Linked DNA regions of Rattus norvegicus. The protein of the gene in region 3 interacts with the protein of the main gene of each other region in a pairwise test. Links are inferred from orthologs where the notes say so. Each region holds a gene or a part of one and is shown on either strand. Other genes may lie near its edges.

Region 1 (4,381 bases), on a different chromosome or scaffold from region 3:
AGATTTCACAAAGAGATCAAGACTGTTCATAAAACTGTCTCTCGTACACAAACAAAACACTCAAAAGTGTTTCTTCAGCTCTGATCCAGTCCTCTTGCCTCCCGGCTCCGTGAGCCCTGCAGGCCTCAGGGAAACTTTGCTGGTTTCTTTTTGTTTTCACCCATCTCAACAGCATAACTGCTTACTGCTGCAAACATCTTTCTCCTTACACGTATGAAGCCACACTGAGCACTAACTACACACCACAGCAGCAGGACGCCACCACCCTACAGTACAGGACCAACGGATAGATAGGACTCATTACTGACCACAGGGAATGAAAAAGGTCAGGAAAGGCAGATACCAGCACCCTATCTACTCCATATTTAGAGGGCACAGGGCCACACTGGTTGTCTGTGTCACAGAAAGGAATCTGCACACACACCCTATTCAAGGTTTGCGGTTCTGAGTTAACCCCTGGTCCAGGCGGCACAGGGAGGCACGCAGGACTCAGCATCCTTAAGAGTGTCCAAACCAAGTTAAACAGAGAGCCTGCAATGCAACCAATGCAACCATGTGGATGGTAAGGAGAGGTGACAGACACCGTAGACCTCAGGGACTAAGCGGCTGGCATGGTAGGCTGCCTCTGTTTCCCCTTCCTTGTGACACCTCTGGCTGCAGCTGACTTACAAAAGGGTGTTCAAAGGTGCGAATGCGCCTCCCTCTCAGATCACTGGCTCTCTGCATAAACTACAACTTAAAGGGTCAGGTTCCAGCTAGAGAGATAGGAGATAGAAAGGGATTGGGACAGGCAGACAAGACAGACATAATGAGAGAAACTGATTTCATAGATTCAGTCTTTATTATCCAGAAATTTACTTACAAAAATAATGTGCTCACACTCTTAATTTACCGAACACCTACTGTGTGTCTGACAGGAAAACACCATAACCCAGTTTTGGTTCATGCCCTGAGGAAGATCGGTGGAAAATCACTCGCACAGAGAATAAACACCATGGACACCAGATAAACTCAGGCAAGAACCTGCCGGGCTAGAGTCTCAAGCCATCTGTCCTAATTATATCCTGCTGACCACCCAAAGTCAAAACTTCTGGGCCCACAAAACAGTCTAAGCATCCTAAGGAAGGAGCCAGAGGCAACGGTTAATCCTAGCTACATGGCTCACTCCTGAAGGCAAGCCCACAGCACAGGCTGGTGGACACACAGCCATGTTTGGTCAATACTCCTTCAGTGACATTCATTGCCCTAAGAAAGTAGGCAATAAATCCCAGCTGCCACCCTGCCACTTCCTGTAAAGAGGGACAAGTCACTTCCTGCATGGATTCTTCAACCTATTCTAGTCAGATGAACACACATGGGGGTGGGGGCGGGGGGGAATTAGTCAGTGTGCTCTGAATGAGCCACGTAGTCTGTCTAGAACCCGTGACTTTCTAAAACACTGGCAATTACTCCACTCCTTCATGAACTCTCTGCCCAAGTCACTCTGCCCCTGAGAGTTGGACACAACAAATTATGCTTACCCAGCATGGAAACCCCTGACCTCCATCTAACTATTGTTATTGCATAACAATAAAAATGTAACAAAAGGGAGTCAGGGTTTGTACAATCAAACACCCGAAACAAAAGGCATTATAATACAGACCATGAAAGTGCAGAGGAACAGAAAGGCCCACCAGAGCAGGGCAAGCCCAGGAAGAAGGAAGCCGGGGGTCTTAGCAAGGCAGTAGCAGTCCCCTGTGAAGTCACAGGAGCTATCAGACTGGTCCTATCATCAGAAGAGCCCCCACCACCTCACCCGAGGGAGGTGGAGAAGAGGAGGGAGAGTCAGGACTAGGCGGCTCTACGGAAGATACCATTAGGACAGGGGACACTGGGAAAGGGATGCGCAGTGCTGGGGAGGATACATCAAGAAGTGGGTCTTAGGGAACCCAGAAAGGACCTTGAGGAAAGGGTAGGGGTACAAGGACTGGTTACTGGGTCAGAAGAAGATAAGATTATGGTGGGGAACACTGGGGAATACCTGCAAGGTCCCAGGGAAAAGGGGAGGGACGCTGGGCTAGACCCTAAGGAAGACTATGAAGAGCTAGGCGGATAGATCAGGAAGTGGGGAAGAGACAGAGACTAGCAGGGGGAAATACAACCAGAATGTGGGACACAAGCGACAGGGGAGGAATCAGGAGCTGGAGGGGAATACAATCAGGATGGGGACACAGGGGAACGCAGTAGCTGGGGGCAGGGGAGGGATACAATCAGGATGGGGGACATTGGGAAGGGGGAGGACACGGGAAGAGGAAGAGAACACAGTCAGGATAGGACACTGGGGAAGAAGAGCCATGAGCTGGGGGTCGGGGTAGGATACAATTAAGAATTAGGACACCGGGGGAGTGGGGAGGAGGCAGAGAGAGTGGCTGGGGTAATACAATGAGGATGGATACTGGGAGAGAGGCAGAAGCTGGAGAGGAGGGACGGTACGATCAGAACAGCAGACATTAGGGACGAGGGAGGGGTGTGGGTCAGAATGGAGGCACTCTAGAAAAGGAAGGCAAGAGCTGGGGAGGAACATTAGGTAAGCGGGAAGGAATAGGGGCTGGGGGGCGGGGGAGTCACGGAGTAAGAGGTGACAAGGGGCTGAGGAAATAGGCGCGGCCAGTAAGGCTGGCGTTCCTCAGAGCCAGGCTTGGAGAGGGGGCGTTGGCGAAGCGGGTTACCCTCGGAGGGGCGTGAGCAGGGCCGAACAGGGTACTCGGACCGAGGAGGTCCTGGGAAGGGGTCGCACGCGGGCGCAGGGGGACACCGCGGGCACAGTCACCTGCGAATGTTCTGGCCGCCAGACAGGGATCAGGCTGAGAGTGCAAGGTCGCCGGCTTCTCCTGCTTCTCCGCTGGACGCGCGAGTCCAGGTCCTGCGTCACCACCTCGCGCCCAGGCGCATGCGCGCGAGGCAGGTGCCGCCCGGGCCCAGAGCCCGAGCCAAGGAGTTGAACTTAACCTGGGCTGTTATCTGTTCAAAGGTGGTTTAAGTATCTTGATCTTGGCGTTTAAAGACAGGCCTTCCTAGAGAGGTGCACGACAGCCGGACTAGGACAATACAAGATGAGCCTGGGGACATCTCTGAACCAGAAATGAAGAACTTCATGCTTAAAAACAGGAAGATGGAGATGTCAAAACTGAATCGGCAAGCAAGGAACAAAACTGGAACTATTAGCAATAGCTCACGTAGAAATGTTATAGCTTAGAACAAATAGAGGAGGAAGGAGCCCGGGCTGTTAGTACAGGACTATAATCCCAGAACTGAGGAGGCTGAATCAGGAGGATAAGTTTGAGGCCAGCCTGGGCTACATAGCCATGGTCTCAAAAACACAAAACAGATAGCGAGGTGGTACACAACCGTAATCTCAGCACTTGAGAGATGTGGTAAGAAGATATGAAGTAGGGCATCTTTAGCTACACAGTGAGCTCAAGACCACTCTAGAATTTCACAAGCTCCTGTTTCAAATTTAAAAAAAAAAAAAAAACTTTTAATTATAGTGCCTTGTGTGTCTCATTTTTTTTTCTAAGTTCTTAGTGTCTCAAACAATGAATTGGACAAGGCACAGAATAGAAGTCGTCCAAGTGTACATTTATTTGGAAAGAAAAAGCATGGAATACACTCCCCAGAATGGGAATTGCCTGAGCAAGCGTAAGACTCAAGACCCCCGTGACCTTTTGTAGCGATCGTTTTATGAGTTCAAATAGAGGGAGGAGCAGATCCCCTAGGGAGAAATTAGGTAGACCCTCTACCCTGATCTACAGGATGTTAAGTAGCTTTGGATCATCTTGGATTGGTGGGTTGTGCATCCTATAGCTTTATGCATGTGCCCCTCTCATGTTTGTACCTGAAACAGTAAGCAGATTTCCGCTAATATTTCACTTCAAGGGAAAACATACACGTATACCCAGTGGTGGTTTAAGATGGACTGGTGTGTCTGCCACATCTGCCCTTCTACCAGAAAATGCCTAACATCAAATTACCTACAGGAGAGATGGGTGTTGCCCCACGGGAAGGAGACTGAAGGGAGGTGTCTGCAGGTCATCAGGTAGCCCTATGCTCGCCTACATCAATGGAATTATAGCTGTTGTACTGATTTTTTTTTTTTTGTCAACTGGACACAAACTAGAATCATCTGGGAAGAGGGAACCTGATGAGGGAAAAGTATCTCCATCAGATAAATCTGTGGGGAATCTTGTCTATTCGTGATTGACCTTGGGCAGGGTCTATCTCACTATGGGCGATGAAATCCTTTGGCAGGAGGTCATAGCTTGTTTAAGAAAGCAGACCAGTAAACAGGGTCCCTCCACATCTCTGCTTCAGTTTCTGCCCTGTTTGAGTTCCTGCCTCGCCT
Region 2 (4,335 bases), on a different chromosome or scaffold from region 3:
GCTGAGCAGATCCCAGCCGGCCCGCCCGCGCGCGGCCGCGCTCCGCGCGCCCCGCTATACATACGGCATACGTCGCGCGGCGCTCGCGCCCGAGCAGCCTAGAATGCTGGGCCGGAGGCGGAGCCACAGCAAGCCGAGCTTCCGCTTTCCACGCCCCAGCCGGTGACCGGTTCAATCTGGCTCAGGCCACCCTGACACCTTCGCTGTTACAGCGAGGGGGAACTGGGGCGGCGGCGCGGAGGCGGAGGCCCCGGGGAACAATGGGCGAGGCCCAGTTGGTGCCGGTGATGTCTCCCCTATCTGTCCTGTGTCATGTCCCCTCGGGTCACACAGGTACCAGCCCCGGGGGTACCCTGGCGCCCGCACCTCGATCAGCCTTTGGTGGGATTTTTAACCGAGCTTGAGCCCAGGGCAATGAAACCTGCGGCGGCTGCAGTGGGCGAGGGGCCTGGGACACCCGGAGAGGGGCGCGCCGAGGGGCGGAGGCGGCTGGCCGGGAGAGACCTTTACCGGCGCACGCCGGTTCCAAGCCTCGCCCCAGCCGGCGCGAGCCGGCTCGACTTCCCCCTCGCCCCCCCCCCCCCGTGCCCAGTCCAATCAACGCCTGGCATCGCCTTAGCAACAGGCTAACAAACGCAGCTCCGCCTATCGCTGGGCGCCCGGGGCGGGCGCTCAGCTACCAGGCTAGTTTGAGCGAGCTGCCAGTTTGAAGTCATTGAAACTATTCCAGCCTTAAGAGCCCGTCCACGCGTAGCCAGGCTTGCTGGGGCACCTCGCAGGGCGCAGGTAGTTATCTTAACTGTGAGATCGTGGTGCAACGGATCAAGTGTGTGTCCACAGAACTCGTTCTTTCCCCCCTACTACAAGTCTTAACTCTTCGAGGAAAAAGCCTTTGTCTCTTCTTATGTTTTTAAAGGGTGCGACGTCAAAGCAGGTTCAAAAGCAAATTCATGGATCTGCCCTTTTTAAAAAACAAATACGAGCGCTGTCATTAGGTACTGTATGGCCCATTCGTGTGGACGCTGCGGAAGGTGAACTAGGGAACCATTTCAGCATGTAGAACACCTCGGTGTAGCTGCGTAAACCCCAAGACTTGGCTTCACCTTTATATTTAAAAGACGGTACATTAATTCTGTGTAACTTAAAGCATCCTCCATTTCTCACTTGCGTTAAGTTCAATTAACGTCTCCCTAGGATGTATATTTTAGATACTTAAAAAAAAAAGCATGCCTCTATCTGAAAAATCGCCAGTATTTGCACTAAAATACTGCATTAGAAAGAAGAAACACAAATTACATAACCAGTTTTAACATTATATTCTTCTTGGACTAGGAATTAAGTCATCGCCACCACCTGACGCGTGTAACCAATCTGCTGAGAGCAGAACAAGCGCCCCTCCTCACCATCCCCCAGAACTGGTCCGAAACAGGATTGAACCGCTTCTAACAAAGGGTGGAAACTTAGAAAAACAAGCTTGGAGTCGCCTATATTTCCACATTGTAGCCACTTAAACAACAGATCGCAAATCTTAGGACCTCTTGTCCCTTTGACAATGCCTTAATCTTCATCTTGTACCCAAAAACCAAATCCGATGTGCCATATACTTTTCAATTCCATCTGTCTGCCATGGGTTTCATTGAATCCACGTTCCAAAGTTAGACATGATGCTCCGAGAAGAAAAGTACTGACCCGGAATGGCTTCTAAACTGACTTAATAGTTTGCATAATGATAGATATTATCCTTTAAAATAAATGGTGCTTGATGTACATTTTAAAAGGAATTGGGAGAAATGGGAAAACACGTGGGGGTGTTGATGCCATATGTCAAAATAAGCCAGGGAAACCCTTTATCAAAGAACAATAATCAAGTCTTTAAAGTCGTTTGCACGTTAATATCAAAAGCAGATACATCTAGCAACCTTCTTAAAATGTCACTACAGTTCTTTATTGGTGCTCCTTCCTGTATCTAAGATTGTAAAATAAAAGGAGAAATCCAACATTGGACTGCAGTCTTTGCAAATGAATTTGAAAATATCAGTAAAACGACGGAGTCACATTTGAACACGTTATAAGGTGCGTATGGCAGATATGAAGCCGGTTACAGATGAAGTTAAGTGCAGTTTGCACTCACTTTGCAGACGCCTGCATGGATTACAGCTTAACACGCTTGGACGTCAAGGAGAAACTACATCTTCTAAGTTTGCTACCTTCATCAAACTGCCGACTAGAACTGCATTAAAGGAGATTAAAGTTCTCATGCACAGAAGTAGAATGTAGTGACTAATATAAAAACTTACCTCTTTCGTGCCCAATTAAGATGTCTTTATGGTTGAAATATTCTACTTCTTCAGTGTAATTCTGTGTATAGGCAGTATTGGAGCCGGCGTTTCTTGATTCAGTCCAGCGTACTTTCGCATGTCCTCTTGCATGAATTTTAAGAGATTTTACTCTGATTTCCCCAGTAACTTCTAAATTTACCCTTCCTGAGACAGTGTCCCCGCTAGAATACACGGGGACATTACTGTCATTAAGACAGTCAAAGCTTATTGTCAAACTCTTTACCTTTCCCAGCACCATGATTATAACAAAATCTATAAAAATATAATAAGACCAAAAAAAGTCAAGATCGCATATAAGATGTGATCTTCACTTAACACTGATCGGTGTCTTTGCCGTGCAAAAGAAAAAAAAATCTTGCAGGCAGGATCAGTGATTGTCTACAAATAGTTCATTGAGATTTCTTAAAAAGTCAGGGCAGCAGAGAAGCCGCTGCTCCACGCTCCTGCTCGTCTCAGTGGTCTCCTTACAAAGACGGGCGGCTGGAGGCTGCCAGCTCACTTTAAGAGCAGCTTTGTGAAAAACAACCCCAGTGCGCAGGCGCAGGCCGCGACTGCAGCCAGCCTCCCTGCGCGTTCCCTCCCGCGAGGCGCGCGCCTCCCTCTCGTCGCGCGCTCCCGGTACAGTAGGTGTGGAGCCGGCGTCCCTGACTTCGGTGCATGGGCCGCAGCGATTGGCCGGCGGGCACTCCGCGCGGCTGCAGCGCCGGCCCCGCACGCGCTCCGCGAGCTAGGTAGAGGGGCCCGGCGGCGCCAGGCCAGGGTGTGCGCCCGTACCGCGGACCCGCAGGACGTGCGAGCCGTGGGGGAAGGGGAGAAACCGGTTGGGCAAGCCGCTGGTGGCCCCAGTCTAAGCTAATGAATTTCAAAAGAAAATGTAATAAAAAGCAGACAAATATTGTTCATACTAGAAAGCATTGTTGACTTGGATAGAAACAACAAAAGCAAGCAGGACTTTGTAGACAGGGTGGCAATGGACTAAGCCAAGGCCTTAGGAGCCAAAGAACAATGCTCCAGGCAGCTCTTGTCTTCAGCTGCCTTCCCAGACTCCTACAGCTTCAAACTCGACCAAGTTGTCTGTGTAGTGTGTAGGCCCGACCACTTCCTCGACGGGAGAAAAAGTCCTTTTTCAAGACACCACCTACTGCTCCATTGCAGAGAATGACGCGATTACAACTTCTGTATCCTCAGGAATAAGAATAGAGCTCACACCCCTAATTACCACCTCATAAGAGACAGTTTGAACATAGTCATTTAGCTGACACTGTTTACAACAGACTGAAAAGTCTTAGCTAGAAAAGCATATACGGTGGTTTTTGGTTTTTAAGTATGATTTGTTACATAAATGAGGCTTAATTTTTAAGCCTTACTTTTACTTCAACATGCTAATTGCCGTGCTACATCTTTAAATACAGGCACATTTCTCCTTTTTTCAATGCCTTGAGTAAAAAAATGCAGTTCTAAACATCACCAGGATTTAGAGGGTAATGGCATAGACTAAGATCATTAACAGTCAACATAACCTCATAACATGGCTATATTATGAAATCCTGTTTTATGCATAGCCAAAATCGGACGAGGTTGTCTATAGTTAAACATCAGATCCTTTTTGCATGGTAAATCCGGATAGGGCGAATCACAACAAACGAACTATTTTGCTGTTTTCTTTATTTTAAAAAAATCTACATTTTTATTTAATTACATTTTATTTGACTTGACATGTGAGCTAAAAAAATCTAGAATATAACTATGTCAAGAATAATTACTGGGCAAGCCGTTTGTCTGAAGAGTTTGGCTTGTTAAGCATAAAATTACACATTTGTGTATTTTAAGGCGGGGGGGGGGGGGGGGTAACTTTCTTCTCTCGGTTGACACCTGGTGGATAATGTAAGTAAAGTGCCTAACCCTTGGGCTAAGGGTTGGTAACAAATACTACTGGTGTTTTTCTCCCCCTAGTGGAACAGCCATGACTTTGCTAGAATGTCAAATTTTGTTCAGT
Region 3 (4,446 bases):
ATGTGTCCTTCCTTAGACTCGAGTGTCTTGTGAGCAAAAACTCAGCATACGTACTCATTTTTGTCTCTGCAGAACATAATACAACACCTGATCCACAGTAACCATCCCATGCATTTTGGCTGAATGAAGAGTGAACACAGGTAATACACACACAGACTACAGTAATAAAGATACTGCCGTAAAATGCTCAATCAGCTAATGGCTTGCTTTGCATTACTTAACTCTTTCACATTAAGAGTCCTTAAGGTCCGAAAAACACGTAATTTCCTGATACTGGTTTTAGAGCAATCTGAGCTCCTCAGAATGTCGTCCCATTTTCTTTTCTGGTTGCATTCAGCTAAGAGGGCTCAAACAAATTTCACAGCCCATGGAATAATCTACCCAGGTTTTCTGTTTGTTGTTTGTTTGCTTCTGTCTGAAGTCCAGAGCCTAAGGAAACTACACTAAGCTGTGAGGCAAAGATTTCAGAAACTACCGAGGAGGATGTGAAGAAAAGTAAACGGGGCAGAGCAGCTCCTAATATTTACAGCAGAAGGTTTCCAATTAGAAAACAGCAGGCTGGGCTGGAGAGATGGCTCAGTGGTTAAGAGCACTGTCTGCTCTTCCAGAGGTCCTGAGTTCAATTCCCAGCAACCACATGGTGGCTCACAACCATCTATAATCAGGTCTGGTGCCCTCTTCTGGCCTGCAGGTGCATACATGCAGGCAGAAAGCTGTATGATGTATACATAATAAATAAATGTTTAAAAAAAAAAAAAAAAAGGGCTGGAGAGATGGCTCAGCGGTTAAGAGCACCCGACTGCTCTTCCAGAGGTCATGAGTTCAAATCCCAGCAACCACATGGTGGCTCACAACCATCTGTAAAGAGATCTGATGCCCTCTTCTGGTGTATCTGAAGACAGCTACAGTGTACTTATATATAATAAATGAATAAATAAATAAAAAAAAAACATTAAAAAAAAAAAAAAGAAAACAGCAGGCTTCTAGGAAACTTTCCCTTGAGGATAGAGTTTACAGCTTTTAAGCTGGGCATGGTGGCACCCACCTTTAATCCCAACACTTGGGAGGCAAAAGCAGTTGGATCTCTGAATTCAAGGCCAGCCTGATCTACTGAGAGATCGAGGACAGCCAGGACTACACAGAGAAACCCCTATCTCTAAAAAATAAAGAAAGTTCACAGGTTTTATATTTTAAATAACCTGTCTTGGGCTAGAGAGATGGCTTGGTTAAGAGCACTCCCTGCTCCTCCCTGCTCCTCCCAGCTCCTCCTAGCTCCCACCCAGCGGCTCACAACTGTCTCACAACTGTGGGTAACTCCAGTCACAGGTAATCTGCCACTGGCCTCTGGCTTCCTTAGGCACCGCGTACAAGTGATAAATATAACATGTGGGCAAAACACCCACGGATGTAAATAACAAACTAATAAAGAAAAATAACATAACTTCTTCTACTTGGCTTCTTCACATTCATTTCATTAGAGCAAAACGAAAGTGTTTACACTAACAGTAAGAAGCACAGGTCTCAATCAGGGCGGAGGCCCACCGAGACCCGCCATCCCACAATTCTCTGTACGAAGACGGAGGTTTTAGGAATTTGAAGCCAGCCGAGACTGTATAGAGACTCCACTCTGTCTCAAAACTCAATTAGTCCAGTAACACTCAAAAAGTCCAATGTCTCACGTAGGTATCCTTACAAAAGAACAATTAATTATTCCTTAAACAGTGACTAAGCCTCAACATGCTTCCTATATAATTAGATTAGACACTCACTTGATCTGAACATGATTTTAAGACTTCTTTTTTTTTTTTTTTTTTTCTTTTTTCAGAGCTGGGGACCGAACCAAGGGCCTTGCGCTTGCTAGGCAAGTGCTCTACCACTGAGCTAAATCCCCAACCCCTGATTTTGAGACTTCTAACAAGATGAAGCACTTTCTAGTCTTTTCGTAACTGAGCAGAAATTTTAACTGAACAAACTGGTTGCTCACTGCTAAACTTTTGTTTGACTGGAAATTTCTAAATCTCAAAAACCTCACTAGAAGCCTGTTAACTACTACCACAAAAAATGGTGCTAGCCAGTGCTTTTACTGTTGATATTATTGATTTAGTCGTACCCTATCCATCTTTTTTCTCATTCTGAAAGACATGCGCTACCAGAGTAAAGTTTGACTCCAACTAACAGCGGTTGTTCTGGGCTATTTAAAGATTCGGGGAGTTTTCCTTTTCATTCTCTGAGCCTGGCTCTCGCAGCACCTTCACAACAGTCAATAAACACTGAAACTGCAACCACCAGGACTTAGATGTGTGCTTACGGAAGCGGTGCAAGTTAATCCTAGTAAGTCTAGGCTTCTAGTTCGAGACTGCCCTGGGCAGCAAACAAGGTGTCACACTACTGCACTTTCTTCCAAAGGGAAGGGTGTTAACTAGCTCGGGAGAAAGCAGGAAGTTTGTATCAACAACTTAAGCCTCCAATGAACCTGGATTTTCCCCACTCCTGCTCTGTGTGCCGGGAACAACCCTGCCCCGTACCCCAATCTCCAGCAGGCAGGAGTTGGCCCAGCCAGAGACACACCGAGGCTGCCCCCCGCCGTCGAGAACGGCGCCGCCCCTTCGCTCTCTGCCGAGGTTCCTAGGCACCCGGGCCGCCGCCCACTTTCCCCAGCACCCAGCGCGCCGGGCACCGCACTCACCCACATCTTGCTCGAATGGGTTGGCAGTGAACAGAGGCATTGCGCCGGCAACGGGAGCTGAATCCCGACGGTCTGGCGGGGTTCCGACTGCCCCCGCTGGGCGACCGGCCGCGGCTTCCTAGACCGCTTGGCCGAGCCGTGCCTTCACTTCCGCCGCCGTGCCTGCCCCGCGCGCGCCTGCGTGCTCCGCGCCTGGGCGCCTCTGCCCCAGCCCCGTCGGCGGGACCGCAGAACGCTCCGCTGAGTGCTAGCACCCTGTAATGGCCTCACTGCTGTTCCAAGGACGCGACAGCCCCTGGTCCGACAACTGATCAGGCACGGCAGCCGCCACAGTCACCTTTCCGCAGTGAGGACCCGGGAGAGCCACGGAGCCGGGGGGAGGGGCTTCGAGGCCGGAAGTTGTGGCAGCTGGAGATGCTGGAGGCCGGAGAGCCTGCAGATCCAGAGAAGTGAGGCCAGGTGCGCGGCTCTGGAATGTCGTTTCCTCCGCCCCAGGCTATGCCAGCCGCTCCTCTCTTATCCGAGTACTTCCTGGGTGCCAGGTCTGGTCTTGCTACTCCGACCCCGAACCCGCTCCGCGTCTTGGTTGCTATGGAAACAGAGCCGCTGCCCTATGAGAGGTGCTGAGAATTGCCGCTTGGGTTGAAGATGCTCATAGGATCCTTCGGTTAAACAAGCCTAAATAGTCACCCTGGAAAGCGGTTACGGAGAGACTCCTTGCTTCTCATTTCTCCTGCATGAAAACACAGTTTGGACTGTGGAATATAAAGACGAATGAAGGGGTTAGAGAGGTGGCTCAGCAATTAAGGGCGCTTGCTGCTTAGATTCTCGTATACTGGGGAGGCAGGGTTTAGAGCAGCCTGAATGCCTAGATCCAGGGAACTTGACACCTCTCTTCTGTCTTCTGTAAGCATCTACACTTATGGTCCCATACCCACATGCATAAGTATAAAATTAAACATCTAATACCTGGTATTGTGGCCCACGCCATTAATCCCAGCACTTGAGTGAAGTACACTCAAGCTTTGCAGTGCAAAAACATTTATAATGACTTAGTTATAAGAGTCATAAACTCAGGTTCCCACTGGCTCCAGCATTTAAATAAGTGTACAAACACCCTTCCTGCAATACACTGCCCTGTACTTCTCCATCCTGCTCGTATCTGTTTCTATCATTTATCACTCTCCAAGGTACAGATAATTGTAGTATCTTTATTCATTAGATTATAAATTCCATGAGTTCTGTTCACTATGCGGACCCAGAATCTAAAACACAGTATCCGGCAAGAAGTCGATCGATAAATGCTTTTAGAATGTAGCCCTGACTTTTGAATTGAAAAGCCCACATCTGAAGCTGACACCTTGAGCCAATGAAACGGCTTGACTGTAAAACGGCGTCCTATCCCAAGCCTGAAGAGTAATGTTCAATTTCCAGAAGCCAGGGGGGATGGAACGAACTCGGGAAAGGTATCCCCTGCCCCCACACTTTGGCAGTATCCTGAGCACGAACCCTCCAACTCACACACATCGCAAACACATAATTTCTGTTTTTAATTTAAAAGATTTTTATAGCTAGGAATGATGGTACAGACAGGTGAATCTATATAGTTATCCACAATATAGACTACAGTCCAGACAGATCTGTGTAGTGAGACCTGGTGTGATGGTTTGCATATGTGTGGCCCAGGGAGTGGCACTATTAGAAGGTGTGGCCTTGTTGGAGGTAGTGAATCACTGTGGCAGTGGGCTTGGAGAACCTCC
Region 4 (3,782 bases), on a different chromosome or scaffold from region 3:
CCAGGTCAAAGGTCCTTTATCTGAAGGCTTTGGAGGCTGGCTCTGTGTTAGCATTTGGAGATTTTTCTGATTTTGGAAGAGAAATATAATACATAGGTCATCTATTATGTAGCACACCAGTGGCGTCTGGGACAGGAAGCTATAATCTAGAGCTTTTTAGATCTCACACTGGTGGGCAAGAGGCTATACATTTACATGATTTTTCTGACTTAAAACGGGTTTTATAGAACCAGCATGGTGGCATAGGCCTTTAATCCCAGCGCTCAGAAGGCAGAGGCAGGCAGATGATCTCTGTGAATTCAAGGCCAGCCTGTTCTACATAGTGAATTCCAGGGTTATGTGGAGGGAGGGAGGGAGGGAGGAAGGGAGGAGGGGGAGGGAGGGAGGGAGGGAGAGAGAGAGATCACTAGCCTCAAACAAAAACAAACAAAAAAAGAAACAAAACAGAAGACCCACCCCAAATAAATAGTTTTATAAATTGTGGCAAAGTCCATTTTGACCATTTTCTATGTATGGTTCAGTAGTATACATTCAGCACTGTACATTAAACTGCTGTGCAGAGAGTCTCCAGGGCTCTTCATGTCGCTCCATCACCCTCTCCTCCAGCTACTAGCACTCCACTGTCTATTTCATCAATTCAGGTACTCCAGACTAGTCCATACAAATAGAGTCACACAGTGTTAGTCTTTCTGGGTTACTGTCCTGGAGGGATAGCCATAGTATAGTCTGTCAGAATTCCCTTTCTCTTTTTAAATAATTTATTTTTATTTTACCAACCTCGGTGTTCTGACTGAGTGTATGTCTGTATGAGGGTGCCGTATCCCCTGGAATAGGAGTTACTACAGTTGCCATGCGAGCCCTCTGGAAGAGCAGCCAGCGCTCTTAATTCCAGAGTCGTCTCTCCAGCCCCTGGATTCTCTTCCTTTTAAAGGCTGACTGATACTCCATTGTCTGTGTCTGCGAGACACTTTGTCCACCCATCTGTGGGTGGGACCATGGGTTGTTGCAACCCTGTCTGTTGTGTATAAGGCTGCTGTGACCAGGAGTGCACACATGGCCCTTACAAGCCCTGCTGTCAGTTCCTTTGTGTATTTCTGGGTATCTAAACCTTTAAAAAAAAAGACTTCTAGCAATAAATACCTCGGTACAAAGCAGCATGTGTAGACTCTTAACAAGTCATAATAAATCTTATTTATTTAGAACTTGTCCATTGCAGTCTACTTATAGAAACTAAGAGGATGTGAGCCAAGAAGGCTGACTTATTACTAGAAAAACTGTAGTCAACTCTTGTGGAGAAACCCATAACCTTTCCAATCAGAAAACTCCCCAGGAACTCACAAAACCTGCTGTGGTTTCTCACTGTTCTTCACAAATCTTAAATCAAGCGTTAAAACTTTTTGTTCAAATGATAGTGATGAGCACTAGAAGCCCATTTGATGTGACACGAGTGTCTTCAGGTGACGTAGAAAATAGATATTTAAAATAATAGAAGAGGGCATGGTGGCAACCAGTCAGGAAAGGAAGCTGATGCAGTCCCTTCAGTTATGAGGTTCCTTAGTATGAAAGGGCCTTGTATCTGTTAGGGTTTCTATTGCTGTGGTAAAATACCATGACCAAGGCAACTTATAATAGACAGCGTTTAATTGGGTTTGTGGTTTCAGAGGGTTAGAGTCCATGATGGCGGAGGAAAGGCATAGTGTTAGGAACAGCTGAGAACTCGTGTCTTGATTCACAAGTAGTAGACAAACAGGGGAATGCCATAGGCTTTTGAAACCTAAAGCCTGACCAGTGAGTGACATGCCTTCTTCAACTAGGCCACACCCCCTAATCCTTATAAAAAAGTCTACCAGCAGGGGGCCAGGTATTCAAACATATGCTATGGGAGCCACTCTCATTCATAGCTTCAAGGTCGTGCTAAATATAGGTTCAGCATGTTTTTTCAAAGCTCTCCAGAACATGCCAATGTACAGCTAAGGTTGGGAACCACAGTGTTGGGCGCCACGGTGTTGGGCATAACAAGGGAGAGCGAGGATCTGGTAGTATCGGGTAGTGACTTCGAGGCTGAAGGGTGAAAGTTGTGCATTTGAGAAAGTTTACAGGTATTTTTGAGATGACTTAAAGCAATGGAAGAGAACTAAGAACAACTGGAGTTTGAACTCCAGATGAACTGGTCGTGACCTCTTCTGTTGCCATCGGCACGCCTTGTGCAATGGCTGAGACCTTCTTTTACTGTGGAGAATTCACATGTCCATTGGGTATCCTGTCACCTATCTGACAGTCCTGCCTTAAGTGTCAGGTACTCTGAGTTTTCAATCTCTCGGATGTGTCGGTCATTCCACAGCACCAAGATGGTGGATGTTTCACAACTTTAAGTCCCCAAAGGCATATGACAAACAGCCTCATGTTGGCCTGCAGTGGCCTTGTAGCATTTGTAAGAAATGAACTTTGAGGCTGGAGAGATGGCTCAGCAGTTTAAGGTCATGTCCTCCGCTTCTGGAACACTTGCGTTCATTTCCCAGCACACACATTGGATAGCTTAAAACTTCCCGTAAGTTCAGCTCCAAGGGATCCAGTGCCCTCTTTTGGCATTTGATGGCATTACATAGACATACATATACACATACACATGCATATAATATACAAACACACACACACACACACACACACACACACACACACACACACACACTTTAAAATTATACAAATCTTGCCTGAGATTGCCTGACATGGAACTATACCCATCACATTCCGTATGATGCATGCTGTGTGTGTAGCAAGAGTGGTTTTTTCCCCTTAAATAATACAATCATTGTCCTGCATCTTTCCTTGAGGTGGACTTAGGTGAAGGCAAGATCTGCTTCTGTTGTGAAGAATTTCAACCAGCCAAATGCACAGACAAAGAAAATGCCTTGAAACTCTTCCCGGTCCAGCCTTGTAGCGCTGTACACCTCCTGCTTAAGGTATGATGGACAGTTCGCAGGCTCCACAAGAAATCTTCCACAGGGGCCGAAGAAGGCTGCTCCTTGAGATATTCCCATTTGGTGGCTGCCTGAAAATGGCCAGGCTGCTAAAAGCAAGTGTGGGCAGCCCTTCACTACTGACCTGCAGTGACCAAGCAGTCCTTCACTAACCTGCGGTTAGAATGGAGTGTAGAAGAGGTCACGGACTGTGTTTTAAGTTATGTGCAGAGAGATTCCGTTGCATTAAAACAATTACACACTGGTGAAAATGCAAAGGTGGCTAGCTATACATATGTGTGTGTGCACACGCATCTGAGGCGTAGCTTTCAGGAAAGCTGTGTTTGCACACTCAGTCGGCATTGTTGTTCATTTGTAGCGAGTTATATGAGCTTGTTGAATGTCACCATTCTGGGCACATTGACCAAGATCAGCCAGAAAATGACGGGGTACGCCTGAGTTCTTTATAACCTGTTAAATAGTTAACAATAAGTAAAAGAAATTTAGGAGAGTACACCGAGGATTCAAGTCAAAGGGAAATGCAGAATCAGCCTTTACGATGGAGCCGAACCACTGGAGTCTGACTGGAGTGGGTAGAGCTGGTAACCCCTTAGCTGCTGGTTAGAGCTTTGCTTTTCAGGGAGGAGGAGGAAGCTCGGATAGAGAACTCTGCAGAGCTTCAAGGTCTGGGTAGTATAGGACTTAAAAATGACCTGCTTGCTCCGGTTTCTGCATGTTTGAATGTTGAGTCATCTGGAACTTTCTAAGCCTGACTTAGCTTGAGGAAAGCCCCTGAAGGAGCCAGGGCCGTGTCCATGGCAACCT
Region 5 (4,573 bases), on a different chromosome or scaffold from region 3:
AATCAACTATCACCAGTTTTATTTATCAATGTACTACAAACAAATCATGTAAGAAATATCATCCTGAGAAAGTACTGCAGTAATAAATCCAGTGACTCCCACAACGGAGGACGACCTAAGAAATAATAATATGTAAACTCTACCTCACATACTGAATTTAAAATAACAGATGGCTTAAAATTCAAAATCCATTTCTAAAAAATAAGTATTTGTAATTTTACAGTGGGTTAGGAACATAATTCAGTGGTAGCCTGTATTCTCAGCATGCACAAAACAGCCCCCAACACCAAAATTGAAAACGTATAAATAACACACGAGCTTTGTTACTCTTTAGGCTAGAATTATAAATGCTAAGACAAAAGTGATCTCTTCCACCTCTCCACTTTATCCATTCATGTACTTTCCCTTTATGTGGCATTATAATCTCAAATTATGGTAACATTCATCTTTCAAAAACCTTTTTCTTATTAGTTGGCCACAATTGCAATCTAATCACTTTTCCATTCCCCAATTTCTCTTCTGACAGACAAGACTTTCTCATAATATGCTATGCAAGGCATCAGAATAAGCCCTTTGGGTCGTTTAGGTTTTGCCTCTCCTAGCAGCTGTGACTCCCTGAAAATAATAAGCATCACCTTTCTGCGCACAATTCCCTACCAAGTATAAATTAACTATTCTTGTTCCTCAGTATACAATAGGGATTAGTTCTAGGACACACTTCTGCTCCACCCCAATCCCCACTCCAACCCCATCTTTGGATGGTGAAGTCCTTTACATATAATGGCATAATATTTACATTCAATCTATTACACATCCTCCCCATAGTTCAAATCTATACATTACTTACACTATCTAATAAAATGTAAATGCCATGTTAAGTAGTTGTTACACTTTGGGAATGACAAGAAAAAGAAAGACTATTTCTTTCTCCAACAAGAAGGGCTGATAGCACATCATCGTATTACTATGGATTCACTCACAGATCTGTCTCTTGAACTATATCATAAACCCCTTAAGAGTTTAGGGGTGTACCACCACCGACAGTTCTGGGCCAAAGAAGACTGGAAATCAAGCGATAAAACTTTTGAATACTTCCTACATAGCTCTGTATTAGTAAATGATCTGACAGACATTTGTGAGGGACTGTGGTCTATCTTTGACCAAAGACACACACCCTTTCTACTGAACACACACTTTCCACCACTTCTTTAAGGGGAGAAGATTCAATTATGTCTGATTCACTCTCAATACAAATGTTTACAACACTGGAAAGGGGGCCACATTTGAAATATAAATACATAAAATATCTAATAAAAATGCAAAAAAAACCTCCAAATGCTTACAACATAATAGAACTCAGTACATTTATAACCAAATAAAATCTAAGCACATTTTCTTTAACAACATGGTCCTCAAAAATCTTAAGAACCTATAAATTCCAGCATCTGGTTCTTTTTTTTTTTTATTCATAGTAAGATTTGAGAATGTTTTCCAATACAACTGTTGTTAAGAAGACCTGCAGAGACGGAGGTAGGAACAAGAACATTAAAATATGGGTAATCGTTTAACACCATGCTTACATTCCACTTTATCCAAAGAATTTAAATGGGAGTGGGGAAAAAAAATGTAGGCACAACCTGTAATTCAGTATAAGCCCTACAGAAAACGAGATACTAGATTTGCAAACCATGAGTTAATTTTTAAAGTGTTGTTTTAATCCACAAAATTTTTACATTTATCCCATGACCAGCTGGTTCTCATCTCACCAATGCCCCGCCCCCCTCCTCACCTTCCTACACACACACACACACACACACACACACACACACACACACACACACACAGAGGAGTCCCTGTGCCAAACCAACCATCATGGGGAAAAAAACCTAAACCATGTGGTTCGTTTCCCTGATTCTTTATGGAAATAGTCATAGTTCTTTTTCCCAAAGGAAAATCACCTATTCTAACGGGAACTGGGAAGGAAAAGCAGCTCATTATCAGTTTCCCACAGGGAAGAAAAAAAAAATGGTATTAACTTGCAATAAGAGACAGCCTTTCCACCATGTCCCCTTTACAACCTAAGTTTAAACTTAAGGGTTAAGAATTTTTGTTTTGTCTTCAGGGTACATTCGCAGGAATGGAGAAGTGAGGCATTTCAGTTTGCAGGAATAGGACCCCTTCAAAAAAGATCCCTCGGAATTTGTGTGATCCACACAAGCCTGCCATCCAGCAAGATTCCGTTATACAGAAAATGCCACTCTCCACCTCCCCCGCCATCCGGAACACTGACAGGAGAGGACAGCGGGGGCGACGGGGCAGAGGCGAGGGGGCGGGACGCCACGCACCGCACCGCACGGCACCGCACCGCACTGGGGACTCGCACGGGGCTGCTGGGGCCTTCTGCGGACCCCGTTTCCTCCAGCCGCCGCCGCCCTCGCCCCGTCTCCACCCCGGCGCCGCTCCCGGGACCTAGTACCGCGCGGCCTCCTCAGCCCGCCGTCACCCCGCGCGCCCCTCACACCCCACGTCCTATCGCGCCGCGCCGCGCGAGGGGCCGCGTCGCACCTGGATGTAGTTGTTCTCGCAGTAGTCGGCCACCCGCTCCAGATTCGTGTAGCTGTCGAAGAGAGCCCGGCGGCCCCCCGGGATTTCCTCTTCCAGCAGCATCTGCAGCTCCGCCATCTTCACATCCTCCTCTTCCTCCTCCTCCTCCTCCTACTCCTCCTCATACAGCCCGCAGAGGCAGCGGCCGCGACGCCCGGGAGAGGAGGAGCAGCGGCGAACGCGGCGGGAATCGGGAGGAGCGAGCTGCACCCCCCACGGCGCGCGACAGGGGAGGGGGCGGCGGGAACGGAGGCGGGGCGCGAGCCGACAGGCCGCGAGGACGGTCACCGCGGCGACGGGCGAACGGACGGGCGCGCGCACGCGCGCTCCCCTCCCTCCGCCCCCGAGCGCCCGAAAAAGATTCCCACCCGCGCCGCCCCTCCCCCACTTCCGGCGTCTCCTAGCGACGGGAGGGCGGGGGCCGGGATGCGCGCGGGAGCGGGGCTCCCGGTTAACCCTTCGGCCCCGCGCGGCCTTCCAGGCTCTGGGAGTCCTCAGTAGCCTTTGTTAGCCGGGCGGGAATGGGCCGCCGCTCCCTGCTGCTTCCCGCTGCCCACTGCTGCTTCCCGCCGCCGCCCCCCATCTTCACCTCTGCGCTGCACCCGGGGCGGGAACCCTGTGGAGGTCATCTGCCTAAGGAAGCTTTCCAGGCCCCTGTGGAGGCCTAGGGAGAGGACACAGCCCCTTCACAAGCTCTGTGAAATATAACACCTCATCAGAACAGGCAGAGCCACTGAACTTCCAAGCAGCTCTAAATGCCACCTTGGACCTCATCGTCTTCTTTACAAATTACTGTTACCTAATCCCAAACCAATTCATTCATTCATTCATTCCCTTCCTCCCCCTGTCCCCACTTCTTGGCATGATCTCCAGTGTAGACTGAGCTGGCTAGAATTACAGCTACAAGTTGTAGTTGCCCAGCCTGGGCCTCCTTCTCACTTGACTTTTTTCAAAATTTCGATGGTAGCTTTGCTGGTACTAATTTCTTTATTCACATGGTTGTCGCATGAATAAAATTAAAAAACACACATTGACAAATGTGCGTTTTTCAGATTAAGTACTACAAAAATTCAAGGTAGTTCATTCTGATCTTGTAATCTGTATATCTAATCTTTTTTCATAAATATGATTGCCCCACAATTGTGGAGTAAACCCTGTGTTGTTACATTAGCTTTATGATAAATACATTACCAGTGTGTGTGAGCTTTTGTAGCAGAGCCTAAAACAGTATTTTTAAATGATGATATGGTCCAGCTGGATCTATTGTTGACCACTTTAGACACCTGTCTTAGCGTGAATGTTCTAAGTGTGAGAAGCTTGTGAAAAACAAAAGGGAGAGCTGGAGGGGAAAGAAGAGAAACCTAAAGAGTATATAGGGAGATAGTTATGTATAGGGCACATACACTTAGTTCAGGAAATGAAAGTACAAACAGCTGAAGAAAACAAACTCCAAACTTCAGATCAGACTCTTAGACAAACTTCAGTAGATCAAAAACCTGTGTTGGGCTGGAGAAATGGCTCAGTAGTTAAGAGCATGAACTGCTCTTCCAGAGGACCAGAGTTTGGTTCCTAACATCCCTGTCATACTGTTCACAATAGCCCTTAACCCTAGCTCCAGGAGATCCAACACCCTGCTCTGGCATCCACTGGTGGACTCATGTGGCATATTCTCACATAGAAACACACACATAAATAAAAAAAAAACTTTTAAAGAATTTTTTAAAGATTTATTTATGTAATGTATATAAGTACACTGTTGGTATCCTCAGACACACCAGAAGAGGGTGTGGGATTGCAGTACAGATGGTTGTGAGCCACCATGTGGTTGCTGGGATTTGAACTCAAGACCTCTGGAAGAGCAGTCAGTGCTCTTAACCGCTGAGCCATCTCTCCAGCCCCTTAAAGAATTTTTTAATGTTAAAAAAAAAACCGGGGTTGGGGATTTAGCTCAGTGGTAGAGCACTTGCCT
Region 6 (4,453 bases), on a different chromosome or scaffold from region 3:
TTTTAATAGGACAAGAAAACAAATGAGGGGTTGGGGATTTAACTCAGTGGTAGAGCGCTTGCCTAGCAAGCGCAAGGCCCTGGGTTCGGTCCCCAGCTCTGAAAAAAAAGAAAAAAGAAGACAAATGAATCTGATTAACTCTAAGGACTGTGCCCAATGCCCTGATTGGCCCAGCCACATTTCTGTCATGAGAGGGCAGCAGCTGTGCCAGTCCTGACTACTACTACCCTGGGATGGTAGGAGAATGAGTATGAAGTCATTTCAGACGGTTCAAGTGCACGAGGGCTGAGCTCTTGGTTAGGCATACTCACAGGAATGCTGCCAGTGGTGGCACCAGCTCCAAATCTGGCACCTGCATCGTACCCTCCTTCCACCAGCACTGCCGAGCCAGGTGGATAGATGGGACCAACTGGGTAATAAGCCATGGGGATCGTGGAGCCTAAAGGCCCAACAGCCACAGACTGGGCCATAGGCAGATACAACGAGGCGCCAGGAAATGCAGCTGACATGGTGGGGACTGTGGCAGCCCCTGGATGAACAAAGCTTGGACGATAGAGCTAAAAGAAGCAGAAGAGAAGGCAAAATATTTCTGTGACACTGGTATTTGAAATTCCTCTAAGTATTGCTGAGACCATCTCCTGTACTTCAGGCTAGCCTGCAAGAATGTAGGAGTGGATGACCTTCAACTCCTGACTCTCCTGCCTTGACCTCTTGACTGATGGAAATAAAAGCCTGCACCACCAAATCCAGCTCACATTGGGCTGGAGACCAAATCCAGGGCTTGGTGCATGCTAAGCAAGCACTCTACCAAATCAACTACATCCCCAGCCCCTTGTTTTGTTTTGGAAATGGGGTTTGGTTCTATAGCCCAAGACAGTCTTGACCTCAAGCTCCTCCTGCCTGAGCCTTCCGTGTGCTGAGACTACTGGTCTTACCACCACGCATGGCTCATGAGTCCATTCTCAGTTCTTGTGTGTGTGGATCACACTGGTTACTGTCACTGGCACACAGTTTCTGGGTCATTTGCATCCACAGCTACTACTGGGCTCAAGGGACCCAAACTCAGCCTAACTCAGCATGTCAAATAACAAGCAGATAATGCGTTCAATTCCAATGGTAATTATTAACTTATGTTTTAGACGGTTCATAGAGCATTCTCTGCTTCTGAATTTGAAGATTTAACAATGGGGGAGGGGTCCAAGAGTGTATTCAAATAGTTAAAAGTCTAGCAAAGTGCAGTACCTCTGAGTATGCAGGTGGAGCATCAGTATAGGGTGGAGCCTGAGGAAGATGTAAGGTCTGAGGATATACTGGATTCCCAGGAGGCTGCACAGGGTAGGTAGGCTGTGTTGGATATTGACCTGGAATACAAAAGGGGAAGAGAGATGTTGTCTATCAAATTAGGGAGGTGGCAAATAGGAAAGATGCTCCTGACAAAATGCCACTCTTCCTGAGGACCCAAGTTCTGTTCCCAGCATCCACATCTGACACAACCTCTTTTCAACTCTAGCTTCTGTCTTTGTGGGCACCTACCCTCACATTCACAGACAATAAAAAAAATTTGTAAAACGGGCAGTTAACTTGGTGAGCTCAAGCAGAAGAATTGCAAACAGATTGCCCCACAGGGCCTTAGCTCTTAGAGCCAAGAAAATAAAAGATTGTCTCTGCACCCTCACAGTGGAAGGTGCTGGGTTCTGACTGGGCAGAAGGCGCTGTTCCCACTAGCATACTGATGGAGGAATCAAGTGTAACTTGGCCCCGTTCCCTCCCAAATAAAGGACAGGTCTGAGAACCCGTGCCGGGGATTCTGGATTGCTGGTGTTTTGGGGGGACTTCTAGTCCGGGTAGTCTCCCACGGACTGTGCGGTAACCAGTGCAGACTCTGTGGAACCCACGGTTCTGCGTGTTACCTCACGGGTTGGTTCCTACTCAAGGTCGACTTCCAAAGAGTGAGTGAATGGAAGTTAACCATGAGAAGGGCGGCGGCTGGGGGCGGGAGGTAAACGCGACCATGGTCTGACAAACATTAGCACAGGCACGACTATAAATCCTGGCCCTGAGGAGGGAGCGCGAAAAGTCGAAGGCAGGCGGGAAAGGATCCTTGAAGGCCGGGACTGGGCAGCAGAGCCGGCACCTCACGAGTTAAGCTCGGCCAAGGCCTGTTGTTCCGAAGCGCGGCGCCCCGCCTCTGCCGGTCCTCCATTGGCCTACCCAAATCCCTGCTCTAGCTCCCCATTCGCTCCAGCCGGTGTCAGTCACGGAAAAACACCCCCACCTCACACACTGGAGCCCGCGGCTCCAAACTGCGCCACAGAGTTTATGGGGCCGGGGCCCGGAGAGCCGAGTTGCTGCGGTGTGTGGGGGAGGGGGGGCGGACACGTCAGGTGCGGCCCCGCTCCGCGGCCTGCTGAGGAGAGCGGCCCTGACCGCCCCGAGCCCGCCGCCCCCGGGCCCACTCGACCCGAACCCGCCCGCGTCCCCGACGACCTCCGCCGCTTCCCGGCCTTGCCTTTGCTGTTCATGGTGGCTCTAATCCACTTCCACTCGGCGTCGCGGACGGTTATTTTTCTCGTCCTCTTCCTGTTCGGAGTCACTTCCGTGTCACGTGACGCCCGTCCACTCTGCGTCAGTCGATGCCCGAGTGCACTGCCGCCGGAAACCCCGCCCCCTCGCAGGCCCGCCAGTCGCTGCAAGGAGGGCGCTTACAGCCCCGCCTTTCTCGGGTGCCCCGCCCTCCCTGCGCGCTCTGCTCTCACCTCGCGCAGCTCCTTCCCGCGCGGCCCCGCCCTCCCTGCGCGGTTTCCCCCTCACCTCGCGCTTTAGGCTCAACTCATGCCCTGCCCTTCCTGCGTGGCTCCGCCCTCCTCGCGCTCCCCGGGTTCCCCGCTCTTCCTGCGCGGCCTCGCCTCACCCGGTGCCCGCTATCCTCTGCGTGGCCCCGCCCTCCTCGCCCACACCGCTCTCCCGCGCGGCCCCGCCCAAACCGCGCTCCCCTCCCTCACCGCATGCCCCGCCCTCCCTGCGTGACTCCGCCCTCCCTGAGTGGTCCCGCCCTCACCCCAAGCTCCTCATTCCTGCGTGACTCCGCCCTCCCCACGCTCCCCGGGGTCCCCGCTCTCCCTGCGCGGCCCCACCTCACCCCGTGCCCCTCATACCTGCGTGGCCCCGCCCTGACCGCGCTCCCCGCCCTCATCGTGTAGCCCCGCCCTCCTTGCCCTCCCTGCGTGGCCCCGCCCTCACCGCGCACCTCCTCCTCACCGCGAGCCCTTCCTCCCCGCATGCCCCGCCTTCACCAGTGCCCCGCCCACCCCTCACACCGGGCCCTGAAGTTCGTAGAGGGCTTGTCTTAGGGCGGCGCCCTTGCTCTGAGCCACCTCTGGACCTCAGATCCTAGCCTGTCCCGCGTTCCGGTTCTTCCAGGCCTCCTATTGACGGTCCAGCGCCCGGGGTCGGTGACCTTGCCCCCGCGCCCGGATCCGTGCGGAGGTAGACCGTGTCCCCGCGCCCTGCTTGGCGCCCTGATACAAACCATGACACCGCATCAAGCTCCTGCCCTGAGATGGACCGTGCCCCGCGCAGGCTGACCCTGGCCTGGCACGTCCTAAGGGGGCCTGTAGTCTCCTACAGACGTTGTGTGTGCCTTAGCCCACTCCCAGTTGTCCTGAAGGGTAGAGGCGACGTCTCTTAGGACCGTGATTACACTTTTCCCGTTTCCTCATGGGCACGCACAGAGTGAGGAACCGACGCAGCTGTCTGCAGAAGTTGTGTTGTGCGCGCTCAAGGAGACGGAGAGGCTCTGGAGCGAGAGGCCCTCGGTGAACGGATTCTGGATTCGTCCAACACCAAGAAGGCCTTGCTTGTGTGTCAGGTGACTATCACAGTTTGCAAGGCGTCCTGTAAATGCAGTTTCATCCAGTCCCACACAGCAGCCCGAGAGGCAAGCGGGCTTATCTGAGCATCCCTGCTTCTCCAACAGAACACTGATGGGGCTGGTGGGGAGGCTCAGTGGTCAAGAACACTTATGCTCTTCCAGAGGCTGATCTGGTTCATCCTGGGGACCACCTGCGCATGCGTGTCGTAGGTTCACGCAGACACAAAAATAAACATTTGAGAAGAAAAGAAAAACTGATCTCGAGGGCAGGTTACAGACTCAAGTTTTGTGTTCTGCCTTCCAGGTTCCGGGATCAGGATTTCCATTTTGCTTTCCTGTAGACACATAGAGCATGTATAGGCTGCACTAAATAAAGGCTGCTTGGGAACTCTTTTAGGTTATTTTAAAAATTCCCTTTATGTGTTTATATTATTAGTTTGATTCGGATTAAATCAGTATCATAAAGCCTGTGGTATTTGCATCTCCTTGACTATCTAAAGCAAAGCACCCATAGACATGATGAAATAAAAATAATAACAACAGATAAATAAAAAAAAATGCAGATGCTATACAGGGTAACCC
Region 7 (3,382 bases), on a different chromosome or scaffold from region 3:
ATATGTCCAAAGATGGCTATCAGGAAGAGAACTAGTCAACAGGTAGACACCATAATGTGCTTTTAAGATGTGGCTTTTCACAAGACAATTGCCCTTCTTTGTCCACTGCTAACTCAACTTCCAGTCTCCTCTGAAAACTCAGGACTGGGCTGCGTGCAATGAGGATGCATAGGAACAAACGTAAGTTAGATTTTAAAGTGCAGTAATGAAATTACAGACTCCCCAAAATTCAATTCCACAGTGAATATAAATTAAATCCATTGTACCATATTGGTGAAGATTTCAGTTCAGAGTTTTTGTTTTTTTGTTTTGTTTTGTATTTTTTAAAGAACCCAGAAAAACAGTTTGAAAACTAATACATAAAGGCAGGCACAATAGCAAGAGACGTGCAGTCCCAGCACTTAGGAGGCTGAGGTGAGAGATTCTCCAGTTTGGAGTTGTCCTGGATTGTAAGGCAATACCCTGTCTTAAGAGGAAAAAATGAGAGAGAGAGAGAGAGAGAGAGAGAGAGAGAGAGAGAGAGAGAGAGAAACAGACTTAGTGTTTGAAAACAGATGTGGCTGGAAATGGCCTATAAGCTTCCAACAGCATTGTAAGCAGGTTGATTGGATCCTGACAAGACACTAAGAACCGTCACCATCCCTCAAATAAAGACTGAGCTGCTAAACAGTTGTGCAAGTAAGAGTTTTATAACTAGGCTCTAAGGCTGTATTAGAGGCATGGCTATAAAGAAACCCTGAAGTGACTCCCTCATCGACACTGAAGACCTACTCGGGGTCAGCTTCCCTCCCCCACACCCAGCCACCAGGTGAGCAGCTGTGCAAGGAACTGGGAGAAAATCTGCCTGTAATTCTAATTATTTTTCTATGGAGCATACTTAAATATGCAAGGCGGCTGCCTGCAGCTGGTGTGGTTCCTTTAGCTGACTCCACTACAAGATAGCAGCTCTTCAATCAAAATCCCTGTAGGTGAGGACCTTGTTGCTGTTGCTGTAAGTGCTGGAGATTAAACCCAGGGGCCTCTTGTGCACGCTAAGTGGGCCCTTGAGTCTTTTAAGAAACACAGGCCCATGATTGACAGGTCCTTAGGCTACTCACCGCAGTTGGCAGGAGAGCTGTGAGGCCAGCACCTCACTTCAATTCAGAAATGCCAGCAGAGGCCATCCCACGTCTGTAAAGAACATCTCCCCTGCTTTCTAGCACCACATCAGCTAAAGTCACCATTCCCTTAAAAAGGCAAAACACAGCTATGTATCTAAGGCTAAGACCAAGCTAGGAGGAAACTTGGTGGAAATGTGCAAAAGTTGGGGTGGGTTTTTTTTTTTTTTGTCTTGAAACAAGAACTAAGTCACATATATTCAATAAAAGTAACTCACAAAGGCATCTTTCCTTACGCAGTACTCCCTCTCCCTTAAGACTCAGCTTATAAAATGTTTATAGCACTCTCCTAAGAACAGAGCCCTCATCTGCCACACACGAGATAAGAGGTAAGTCTGCCTTACACAGCATTCTCAATTGCACAAAGACTGGAAAGGCTGAGGAGGTGTCTCTCCATGTTTTTGGATGGACGGGCTGCCTGTGTGGATTCTGTCTGGCTCTATCTCTGTAGCAGGCAAGGCAACTGCAGCTTGTGGGCCCCAAGGAAAGCTATGTAGCAGCCAACACAGCGTCAGGAACTTACTTAGAGCATTAAGAGGCTTGTTTTTTTTTAAGGTAACTCAAGTGTGCACAAAGTTAAAGAATGATAATTTCTAAATGTCAAAAGGTTGGACACGCCCGTCGGGGTTTCTGAAAGCAAATATAGGATAAAATGTCTGCCCAGAGAGCCTGGGTGACAGGGAACAGGAGACTAGAGGTGGGCGGATCCTAAAGCTTGTCAAACGCTGATCACCAAAAGGAAAAGTCCATACTGACGAGATCGCAGGTGACCTGAAGCAAGTGTCTTTAAAGTCATCCTTTCGGGACTCGCGTGAGGCCCTGGGTTCCATTCCCAACGGGAAAAACACAGAAGAAAGCCATTGCTACTGTGATCTTAGCTACTGACCTCGACCCGTTCAAAGCAGACCCCGGCAGTCTACTTTTAAGGGTGGGTTTTAGTTGTTGGCCCAAGACTGCTTCGGTTTGGTTGAATACTTTTCGTGACATTTGTTCCCATGGTACAAAAAAACAATCTGGAAAGAATACGGTTGGTCTCTTTACCCCACGTTTTCAAGTAACTAGCTCAAGGAAGCTTATTTACAGCAGAGCCGTCCTCCCCACTTGACCTACGTTAGCCCACTTTGTCTCTTCAGGAGTCCATATTTCAAAGGCTTGCCTTTCGTTTTTTTCCCCCCTTGAACCAGATTTTTCTTTTAAGTACTGTTGAATCAGTCAGGTCTCTGCTTTATTGGGCAGATAGAGAGAGGAAATCAACAAGTTGTGTCCGAAGGCTGGGAACCGCCTGAAGGCTTCCCAGCTGTCCGCAAAGATGTTGTACTTGAGAAACACTCGGTGCTCCAAGCTGGTGGACAGGGTGACGTCCCTGCTCATAATGTAGATGCCGTCATTGTGTAGTGCGCACGTCAAGTTCAGGCCTGATTTGGACGTGTTCTCCTTCAGGTAGAGCCACTGCCGAGTTTCCGTGTTGTAGGACTGCACGGTGAGCATGTCCTCGCTCTGACTGCTCCTGCGGTTGGACCCCAGTTCGTGGAGACACCCGCCCACGATGTAGATGGTCTCCTCCACGGACACCATCTGCTGCTTGCGGATATGGACGTCGCAGGTCTCAAACAGCGTCCAGAGGTCAGCGGAGGGGCAGTACTGCAGGATGTTCATGTTGCGATCTGAAACACACAAAGAGGCTGAAGCTCACTTGGAAAGGCAGGGGATAGAGAAAGGGTTTTCTAAGCAGATGGGGCAGAGGTCAGCTGAATGCTCCCCCACTACCTTCCTCCCAGGCACCCCCTTCTTGGGGGAACCTCAGACCCACAAAGCCAGACATGGTGGCTCACACCTGTAATCCCAGCACTAGGAAATCCTAAACGGGGATCTTGAGTTGAGGGCAGCCTGGAAACGGGCAGCTTTGATTTGAACACGACTTGTAGATGCTGCTTTAGACAGATGGCTATGCTTAGATGCTGTACCTCAGAGTAAGACCCCATGTCTTCTGAGAGAAGCGTTAACCTCAGCAAGCCCTGATTTGCAGCCTACCTCGGGGCAAGCTCTCAACACTGTAGCAGATTCTGTGCTTTAATGAGAAGCTCTAGCTGTCAGAGGTTTGAACCCCAGTGACCTATGCTGCTTTACACAAAATGGAAAACCCCCCATTGTAAAACTTATTACTTAGCAAAATGGTGGTACATCTACCTGGACATCCAGATGAGCCCCCCAGACTGGTGTCCTAT

Evidence for each region.
Region 1: the proteins of Stam2 (region 3) and Plekhb2 interact in binary tests that used the Homo sapiens proteins (3 or more experiments, as listed by UniProt). The two-hybrid records come from large-scale screens. The link is inferred for Rattus norvegicus from reciprocal best matches to the Homo sapiens genes STAM2 and PLEKHB2.
Region 2: the proteins of Stam2 (region 3) and Arrdc3 interact in binary tests that used the Homo sapiens proteins (3 or more experiments, as listed by UniProt). The two-hybrid records come from large-scale screens. The link is inferred for Rattus norvegicus from reciprocal best matches to the Homo sapiens genes STAM2 and ARRDC3.
Region 4: the proteins of Stam2 (region 3) and Entrep1 interact in a two-hybrid assay, tested with the Homo sapiens proteins (2 studies listed by BioGRID and IntAct). The two-hybrid records come from large-scale screens. The link is inferred for Rattus norvegicus from reciprocal best matches to the Homo sapiens genes STAM2 and ENTREP1.
Region 5: the proteins of Stam2 (region 3) and Abi2 interact in binary tests that used the Homo sapiens proteins (3 or more experiments, as listed by UniProt). The link is inferred for Rattus norvegicus from reciprocal best matches to the Homo sapiens genes STAM2 and ABI2.
Region 6: the proteins of Stam2 (region 3) and Dazap2 interact in binary tests that used the Homo sapiens proteins (3 or more experiments, as listed by UniProt). The two-hybrid records come from large-scale screens. The link is inferred for Rattus norvegicus from reciprocal best matches to the Homo sapiens genes STAM2 and DAZAP2.
Region 7: the proteins of Stam2 (region 3) and Klhl42 interact in binary tests that used the Homo sapiens proteins (3 or more experiments, as listed by UniProt). The two-hybrid records come from large-scale screens. The link is inferred for Rattus norvegicus from reciprocal best matches to the Homo sapiens genes STAM2 and KLHL42.

The regions. Positions count from the first base shown.
Region 1 is NC_086027.1:44,543,997-44,548,377, reverse strand, and holds the start of Plekhb2 (pleckstrin homology domain-containing family B member 2), read right to left. Parts: upstream 2,906-4,381; 5' UTR 2,810-2,905; intron 1,802-2,809; exon of another isoform or gene 1,643-1,801; intron 1-1,642. UniProt on the Homo sapiens protein: Involved in retrograde transport of recycling endosomes.
Region 2 is NC_086020.1:12,871,680-12,876,014, reverse strand, and holds the start of Arrdc3 (arrestin domain-containing protein 3), read right to left. Parts: upstream 2,814-4,335; 5' UTR 2,578-2,813; coding exon 2,298-2,577; exon of another isoform or gene 1,333-2,297; intron 1,122-1,332; exon of another isoform or gene 985-1,121; intron 97-984; exon of another isoform or gene 1-96. UniProt on the Homo sapiens protein: Adapter protein that plays a role in regulating cell-surface expression of adrenergic receptors and probably also other G protein-coupled receptors.
Region 3 is NC_086021.1:57,641,084-57,645,529, forward strand, and holds the start of Stam2 (signal transducing adapter molecule 2), read right to left. Parts: upstream 2,833-4,446; 5' UTR 2,727-2,832; coding exon 2,687-2,726; intron 1-2,686.
Region 4 is NC_086019.1:231,031,297-231,035,078, reverse strand, and holds part of Entrep1 (endosomal transmembrane epsin interactor 1), read left to right. Parts: intron 1-2,831; coding exon 2,832-2,960; intron 2,961-3,782. UniProt on the Homo sapiens protein: Functions as an activator of the E3 ubiquitin protein ligase ITCH in the ubiquitination of the CXCL12-activated CXCR4 receptor. Thereby, triggers CXCR4 endocytosis and desensitization, negatively regulating the CXCL12/CXCR4 signaling pathway.
Region 5 is NC_086027.1:69,319,490-69,324,062, reverse strand, and holds the start of Abi2 (abl interactor 2), read right to left. Parts: upstream 2,859-4,573; 5' UTR 2,683-2,858; coding exon 2,566-2,682; intron 1-2,565. UniProt on the Homo sapiens protein: Regulator of actin cytoskeleton dynamics underlying cell motility and adhesion. Functions as a component of the WAVE complex, which activates actin nucleating machinery Arp2/3 to drive lamellipodia formation.
Region 6 is NC_086025.1:133,592,005-133,596,457, reverse strand, and holds the start of Dazap2 (DAZ-associated protein 2), read right to left. Parts: upstream 2,922-4,453; 5' UTR 2,812-2,921; intron 2,757-2,811; exon of another isoform or gene 2,688-2,756; 5' UTR 2,523-2,687; coding exon 2,510-2,522; intron 1,362-2,509; coding exon 1,243-1,361; intron 558-1,242; coding exon 312-557; intron 1-311. UniProt on the Homo sapiens protein: In unstressed cells, promotes SIAH1-mediated polyubiquitination and degradation of the serine/threonine-protein kinase HIPK2, probably by acting as a loading factor that potentiates complex formation between HIPK2 and ubiquitin ligase SIAH1.
Region 7 is NC_086022.1:181,755,217-181,758,598, reverse strand, and holds the end of Klhl42 (kelch-like protein 42), read right to left. Parts: exon of another isoform or gene 3,345-3,382; intron 2,822-3,344; coding exon 2,370-2,821; 3' UTR 669-2,369; downstream 1-668. UniProt on the Homo sapiens protein: Substrate-specific adapter of a BCR (BTB-CUL3-RBX1) E3 ubiquitin-protein ligase complex required for mitotic progression and cytokinesis. The BCR(KLHL42) E3 ubiquitin ligase complex mediates the ubiquitination and subsequent degradation of KATNA1.